2 linked regions of the Sus scrofa genome follow. The main gene of each other region encodes a partner of the protein of the gene in region 2 in a complex. Links are inferred from orthologs where the notes say so. Each region holds a gene or a part of one and is shown on either strand. Other genes may lie near its edges.

The links.
Region 1: the proteins of GCC2 (region 2) and RAB6A are in contact, whole or in part, in a crystal structure (PDB 3BBP), measured with the Homo sapiens proteins. The link is inferred for Sus scrofa from reciprocal best matches to the Homo sapiens genes GCC2 and RAB6A. Residues at the interface, in NP_852118.2 of Homo sapiens: Thr1585, Ile1588, Leu1589, Glu1591, Gln1592, Leu1595, Leu1596, Glu1599, Arg1602; in NP_942599.1 of Homo sapiens: Lys15, Ile46, Gly47, Ile48, Trp67, Arg74, Phe75, Ser77, Leu78, Ser81, Tyr82, Asp85.

What each region holds. Positions count from the first base shown.
Region 1 is NC_010451.4:8,196,112-8,200,503, forward strand, and holds the start of RAB6A (ras-related protein Rab-6A), read right to left. Parts: upstream 3,102-4,392; 5' UTR 2,478-3,101; coding exon 2,408-2,477; intron 2,112-2,407; exon of another isoform or gene 1,675-2,111; coding exon of another isoform or gene 1,653-1,674; intron 1-1,652. UniProt on the Homo sapiens protein: The small GTPases Rab are key regulators of intracellular membrane trafficking, from the formation of transport vesicles to their fusion with membranes.
Region 2 is NC_010445.4:47,749,055-47,752,865, forward strand, and holds part of GCC2 (GRIP and coiled-coil domain-containing protein 2), read right to left. Parts: intron 3,290-3,811; coding exon 3,185-3,289; intron 2,519-3,184; coding exon 44-2,518; intron 1-43. UniProt on the Homo sapiens protein: Golgin which probably tethers transport vesicles to the trans-Golgi network (TGN) and regulates vesicular transport between the endosomes and the Golgi.

The sequences.
Region 1 (4,392 bases), on a different chromosome or scaffold from region 2:
TCTTTCATTGTCGAAGCTACTGGATGACATTACTTAGCAATATAGCAGCCTCAAAGATAATTAACCTCACAGTTCCACCGAGTTAAAAAGCATGCAAACACAATTTTAAAAAAACTTAGAGGAGCTTAAGGAGAAAGACAACCATAAAGTAATGTGGTATCCTGAACTGAATGTTGGAACAGAAACAGATAAAAATGAAGAAAATCTGAATAAATTAGAGACTTTACTTAATAATGCATCAATATTGGTCCATTAATTGTAACAAATGTGCCATACTAATGAAAGATGTTAATAATAAGGGAAATTGGGTGGGACTCTATGTGAACTCTCTGCATTATCTTAATTTTTATGTAAATCTAAAACTGTTCTAACAAAATTGAGTTTACTTTTAAAAAAATCTAAGATGGCTTCAGGAATTGGCAGGAAGGGGATTTAGTAAAGACTTAAAGAAGTTAAGAAATGAGAAGCTATAAAACTCTGCAATGAGAATTAGAAGTAAATACCCAAGAAATTCAAAGGAAACCTGCAGATACTTAAGTTATGACTATTCATACTAAAATTTTCCTAGGATGGAGATTTTTCATGCAAACTAAATATCTCTGCATCACAACATCAGGCAGGCAAAAACATCCCTAGAGTGCACAATAAGCACTTATCCTATCAATAATGACCAATAGCTATATTTTATGAATGGCACTGCCCTAAAATTGTTATAATACCTGGACAAGGATCAACCTCACAGGTCTCAAGTTACTTAAAGAAACAAATTCAGAAAAAATAAACAAAGAGGAAACTTGGTAAGACAACAAGGAGAAAAAAATTATGTATGAAAGGAGAAAAATGATTTCTCAGGTCTAATTGGAAGCAATTTTGCAACTATTATTAACCTACTTTAATGTCACACAAATTAGTGTAAATAGTTCAAAGTAGTAACAAAAGCCTTGAATTAACATCAGTTATCTTCTTCCCAATCAAAAGAAATAAATGTCTTCTATAGCCTAACCTAAAACACCTAACAGATAACAATGTCTAATGACTTCGTAAGAACTAATCTCTCACTGTCTCAATTTTAAAGACAGCCAGGAAAAGTGAGAGAAAAACAATGAAGGGTGATCACCTCTAAACTGCAGAGTATGAAGTGTGTATAACACAGCATAAAATTGGAATTACCACAAGAAGTAATTTTAGAGACAGCAGCCATCACAAAATAAGGACCTTTATCTAACACAAAGTAAGGACCTTTATCTAACACAAAGTACAATGACGGCAGAAGCATGGTCAGGTAAACAAATGATTTTACTCATCAGATACAGTGGAATATTAACCATAAAAGAAGCATTTCGCCAAAATGGTATCATGTATTTATCTAACTTAGATAACCAGATGAAAAACCCATCTCTTCTCTCTCTCTTACTCCCTGACCCCAAAGGAAATCCTACAAAACAAAGATGTTCGTTATCCTAAAGCCTTCTCTCACAGGAATCCTCAATCTATCATTGGAAAATACTCAAAAAGAAATGGAATAATTAGCATTTCCCCAGTAATTCCTGTTTGCTCCACTGTGAGGAGAATCAGACCCCGCTTCGTGTTAAAACAGAAAAAGGAGAGGTGAGATGTGAAAAATTCCAAGTAAAACGATCATGACATAGCACCTGGCAGAGACTGGAAAAGCATCCACGCGGCCAAAAGGATCGTCAAGGATGAAAGTCAGGAGAAGAAAACGAGGTTTTCCAACAAGCCGCAGCCTAGCCCATCGGGTAAAAATCGCCACTGCCGCCGCCCCTCCCTCACTCCCCCACCACTCCATCCTCAAGTCGCCTCCAAGGCCGACGTGGACCCTCTGGAACCCAGGCCAACCCCCCACCCAGGTGAAAACAATCCAAGAATTTTCTAGGACTCCCCACTTTCCACCTTCCAGAAGATCTGCACTTCTCAGGGCCAAGCCTCTGGGGAAAACAACGCCCAGATCCCCCCTCCCGGCGCGAGGTTCCAAAGAGCCGGGTCCCGCCGGTGGGCCTCGCAGGGCTGACCGACCGGGATCAGAGCGAGGAACAAGGGTGGGGCTCAAGGAAGGGAGCGGGAGCTGGCGAGACGACGGAGACCGGAGGAAGAAAGGGATGGACAGGAGGCTGGGCGGGGTGAGGACTGGGGAGGGCACGTCGACAGGGGAGGGCCGGGCTGCGGGGAGAGGAGCCGGCGGAGTCGGGGCCAGAAGGGGCAAAATCCGCCCGACGGATCGCGGCGAGGAAGCACGGGGGGCGACGAGGGGGCGGCCGACGCGGGGCCGGGGCAGGGGGCGGAGGGCGAACGCGAGGGCCGCAGCAGCCTCCGCGGCCGAAGGGCCGCACTGGGGGCGGTGCGGGGAAGCCGCGGCCAGCTGCCAGGAGTGGGGGAGCCGCGCACTCACCGCTCTGCTCCCCCAGGAACACCAGCTTGAATTTCCTCAGCGGATTCCCGAAGTCTCCGCCCGCGGACATGATGGAGCCGGAGGAGCTGCGCCGCCTCAGCCCAAAGACCTCCCGGACCGACGCGGCTCCAAGCAGTGGACGGAGAGGCTAGAGAATGGGCGGGCGCCCAGCTCTCTCGGCCGCTGCAGGGCCCGGAGCGGAGCAAGACCGGAGGGCAGGGCCCCTCGACACAGACAGGCAGCCGTCGCCGCCGCCTCCCCTCAGAGCCGCCTAGCACCGAGCGAGGCCCGAGGCTGGGAAGGGAACGAAGGCGGTGTCGGAAGCAGCCAGGGGAGTGCTCAGGGGTCCGAAGGCCAGAGCGGCTCCCTTCTCAGCACCCGGCTCGGAGGCTGGGGTGAGGGCGGAGGAGCCGGAGCCGCAGACGCGCCTGGGACCTCTCACACGCAGCGCTTCAGCGCCTCAGCTGCCGCCGCCGCAGCCCAACCTGCTGAGTGCGCGAGCCTGTGGCGCGGCGCGGGGCGAGCCCGGGCACGAGCCTGCCGCCCCGCCAGCCCCAGCGTGCGTGCGTGCGTGCGTGCGCGTGCGCGCCACAGACGGCGTCTTCCTGGTTTAGCCTGCTTTCCCGGCTCCGCGGCAGCGGAGACCGGGGGTGGTTAGGTGTACGCTCGCGTCGGGAGAAGCGGGGAGGTGGGGTGGAGCCTGGAGGAACCCAAAGGGTGGAGTAAGGAGCGCTTTCGTCACTTATACGATGAGCCAATCGGAAGAGGTCAAGGGCGGGCAAGGATGGGAATGAGGTGGCGGCGCGAGAGCGCGCTCGCTGCCCTCGAGCGGTGGAAAGTGTCTCACAGTGGCGGCCATGTGTAGTGTGGCGCGTCCGAGCCTGAGGGGAGGAGAACAGAGAGAAGCGGGGTGGAGGCGGGGCCGGCGTGGAGGTGGAATTGACCCCTACAAGAGCGGATGAAGTCAGAGAGTACTAAGGTGTTTAGAAGGTTCCTAGTTCTGAGCCTTTAGCCCTGCCTCAGATTCCTGCGAGCCCCACTTCACCTATGCCCCCACCTTCTCCAACCTCTTCTTATAATTCCTGCCATGATACCCTCCTAGGTACATTCTCCACTCCTGCTCCCAGGAGTTTCATAACTACCAGAAGCAGGGCCTCCACGTTTTTACAGATGAGGAAACTGAAGCTCGTAGGAAGGAAATGACTTACAAAACCCACAGAACAGTAAAATTGAAGCCAGGTTTTGTCTTTTTCCCCCATTGAACTTCTGCAACCTGCTAGTTGATAAGACCATCCTTGGCCTGATGTGGCTTGGCCTTCTGTTAGCAACCTCTCTTCCTCAGATGGGCCAGCCCAGGTGAGCCCACCTTCTACTGTGATCGAAAAGGATTTAGATATCATGTAAACATAGGGTAAAACTGAGGCTCAGGTAGGAAAACAAGTTTGCAAAAAGGTCACACAACAAATTCGTGGTAGAGCATGCCCCTGATGAAGTGGGCTTTTTTTTTTTTTAACAGCCACACCTGTGGCGTATGGAAGTTCCTGGGCTAGGGGTCGAATTGGAGCTGTAAATTCAGGCCCATGCCACAGCTTCAGCCACACCAGATCCTAGTTGCTTCTGAGATCTACCCTGGAGGTTTCCACTTTGTAGGATCCGTAACCCATTGAGCAAGGCCAGAGATCAAACCCGAATCCTCACAGAGGCAAGGCAGGGTACTTAACCCACTAAGTCACAGCAGGAATTCCTGAAGTAGATATTGTATTTATTTATTGGGGTTTTTTTTGTTTTTTGTTTTTGTTTTTGTTTTTTTTGGCTTTTTAGCGCCATACCCGTGGCATGTGGAGGTTACCAGGCTAAGGATCAAATCAAGAGCTACAGCAGCTGGCCTGCGCCACAGCCACAGCAACACGGGATCCAAGTTGAGTCTGCAGCCTACACCACAGCTCATGCCAACGTCAGATACTTACCCCACTGAGTGAGGCCAG
Region 2 (3,811 bases):
TGACTAGAATAATTTAAATCAATAAAATTCAAATTAATAGTACCTTTAATGATACCAACTCTGCTCTCAAGTCTTGTAATTCAGATTCTTTTTCTTCTAGCAATGGCTTTAGGTGTTCAAGTTCCTTTATAAAAGATTTTTCTTTTTCATTATGGTTTTCATTTCTGCTACATAATTTTTGAGAGACTTCTTCCACTTGAATTAAGAGATTCTGATTTTCAAGCCTTGTTTGTTCATTAGCATTCTTCATTTCTAGAAGATCATGCTCTAGGGCCTCTTTTTTTGAGAGGGTTTCTTCTAACTCTTTCCTCAAGGTAACTTTCTCTTGCTCATGATCTCTCAGTGAAGACCTAAGTTTCTCACACTGGATTTCATTCTCTTCTTGAAGGAACTTAATCTCTTTTTCTAACTCTGCTACCCTTGCATTGTACTGAAAAAACAAGCTGTGTTTTTCTTCATTTATTTTAGCTAAGGATTCACTTACAGCTTGCAGGACATTTACAATATCTTGATCTTCACTTTCTTCTGAAACTTTTGACTCCATTTGTTTAAGAAAATTACACAATTGGGTTTTGACAAGTAACTTCTGATCCTGTTCACTGTCAAACAGTTTATTTAAATGATCTCTTTCTTCAAGTGCTAACTGAAGTTTCTTTTCTAATTCAGAAAGCTGTTCCTTAAGCAAAAACTCTCCTTCTTTTTGTGACAGAAGAGCTTCTAAATCCCTGCTCAACTGGTCCTTTTCTGAGGTCAGCCTACTGTTTTCCTCGTAAAGAGACTGTGCTTCAGATGACATTGCTTCCTGCTCTCCAGACAGGGTCTGCAACTGAGCCAGAAGCTTTTCTAGTTGTTGGTTATTTTGATCCTTTTCTTTTAAAGTTTCCTCTAGTCCTGCTGTTAATTCATTTACTTTTTGTTCTAGTTCACTGTTGTACCGGGTGGTCTGCTCTACTTTTTCCCTAAGTTCTACAATCAGTTTATTTTCCCTTTCACATTTTTTATGGAGATCATTCATCTCTTCATGAGAACTCTTCATTTTACTTATGAGATCATCTTTTTCCTCAATAAGATGACTTATCTTTGCTTCCAATTCTTGTGCCATGGTATCTCTCTGACTGAGACTAACTAAATATTCTTCATTCTTTTCTTGAAGGGTCTTTATGGTATTTTCAAGTTCTGGTACAAATTCTTGCTGTGATAATAACTTTTCATTTTCTGTCTGGAGGCGATTCACAGTTTCAAGAAGAGCATCTTTTTCATTAAATGCAGTTCTTAGCTTCTGCTGAAGTTCATTAACATCAGATGCTTGCTGCTGCTTCATTGATTCAAACTCTTGACTTATTTTTCCAGCAGATTCCCCCAATTCTGTCTGTAAAATTTCCATAATCTCCCGTAAACTCTCATAATTTAAAATTGCTTCTTGCTTTTCTTGTTGTAGATTTTCACACTGTTCCTTAAGACCTTGTATTTCAAACATTAATGTTAATTTTTCTTTTTCTGAACCTGACAAAAATGCCTCATTTAGTTCTGATATTTCTTTTTGATGTTGTTCCTTTAGACTTTTTACTTCTTTGTTATGTTGTTCTACGATACAGCGAAACTGTTTATCTGAATCTTCTAGTTCACATTTTAATTTTTCGATTACACATCCCTGTTCTTCTTTAGCTAGTAATAATTCATTAATTTTAAATTCTAAATCTTCCCGTTCATGAAAAAATTCATCCTTTATGTGTTGAGCATCAATTTCAAGTTTTAATTTAAGATTATTCATGTAAGTTAACTCATCTTTTAAGATAGTATGTTGAGACTCCAATTCTTTTAAGGCATCTTCTAAGTGTTTCACTTTTTCATTTTCTCCTTGTTCTACAAGAGTATTTTCTTTTAAGAGCAAAGAACACATCTGATTTTCCTGGTTTGCATTTGAGGTTTTCCCTAGGTTTTCTAATTCACATTCATATTTCTGCTGAATGTTCTTCTCCTCTCCCTCACATTGCCTGACTAAATTCTCCTTTAGCTGATTTAAATTATTTACTTCTGCTTCATGTTCTATAGCAGATGCTTCAATCTGGCACATCAATTCTTTCACCTCTTCTTGGTGTGTAGATTTCAACCGTAAAAGTTCTTCTTGCAAACTATTAATATCTTTTTGGTACTGCTGAGAATTAGCCTCAATGACTCCTTGGAGATGAGTGATTTCTTGCTCCTTTTCATTTGTGGCAGCTTCTAACTGCTGTTGTAGATATAAAATTTGCTCCTCAAAGGCTGGCTTGATTTTCTGAATCTCTTCTTGCAGTTTTTTAACAATTTCTTCAGAATCATTGTGAAATTTAAGTTGTTTTGAAAGCTCTAATTGTTTTTTGGCTGCTTCTTCCAGTTCCTTTTGCCAACCAGCTTTATCGTTACTATGTTTGGAATGTACTGCCATTAATTCATTTTTCAAATTTTCCATTTCCTTCATATAGTTTCTTTGTGATTGTTCAAACTCCTTGTGCATATCTTCCAACTTAGTTACAGAATCCTATAAAAATAAACACACAAAAATTACTTGAGAGAAAGACACCACTCAGGGAAAATATACGATGCAGGTTCATAAAAAAGGAAATAACCAGAAATGTACATAGAGAAATATGACACTGAGATTCCAAGAATTCTGCTTAGGCTCTGACTACCTTAAGTATGATAATATAATTGGTATTACTAAGTATGTTACTCAAAGCAGTAACTAAAAGCTAGGAAATCTCTGAATTTCATTTTCTTTTAAATGGCAATAAATTATGTAAGCTGTATTAAATCATAAGGCTTTAACAAATATCTCCTGAATGATTAATAAAGCTTTTGGGAGAAAAATCAACCCAGACCCAAGAAGCAACTGAACAGATACCAGCATTTAGAGTATGTGTGAGAATCAACTTATTTAAATAGGTACTTTTTCATAAAATAGGTATTTTCCCCCATTTTTATTAAAGAATATTATAGCTAGAAAGGAGATTAAACAACGAACAAGTAAATGTCAGCTCTATCTCTGTGTAGTTGAGCTATTTCAGCTATTTTTTTTTTTTAAATATCAATCGGTTTCCTTGTTTGTAAACAGTTAAAATCAGATAGATGCCTTTTAAAGTCTTGGCTCCAAAACTCATGATTATACTACGAAATAAAAAACAAAAAAATTAAAATCTTTCCTTACCTCAACCTCTTGCTTCATTTTAATATTTTCCTTCTTCAGAGAAACACACTGTTGCTCAGTCTCTGCTTTTTCCAGAAGAATAGCATCCAGACGTTCTGTCAATGCCTGTTTTGGAACAGGTTAAAAATGGTGCATTGACTTTACTCATAATTATCTCATCTTTTCCAAACCATGCTAAGGTAAGAATATTTAAAAAGCTATACTTTGCAGCTGGATAGCTGTGATTCAACACTATGTTCTAAGGCATTTCCTGTAGTGGAGTGATTGGTCTGCAATAAGAAGTCACCCTTTTCCACTGAAAGGGAAGTGGGTGGTCACCCACGAGACAAGCTAAAATTTGTTAGAAGTCCTTGGTGGGTAACTTCAGCTTTGCGTTTTCCTGACAGGAACTTGGAGATGCTCCCACTCTGATCCCCCAGACCCCACCCATTCTCTCACTTTAAGAAAAAAAAAGTAATTGTTTCAGAGGTCTCTGCATTTTGCAGGTGCCCTTTTGTAAGACGTACTTTTCCCAAATGAAACAATTTAAACCCCTCCCCCTCCCCCAAAAAACCCCATACACACAAGATCAAAGAGAAAAGGAGAAAAGACATGAGGATATGAGAAATTTCAACATCTTTGGAAACA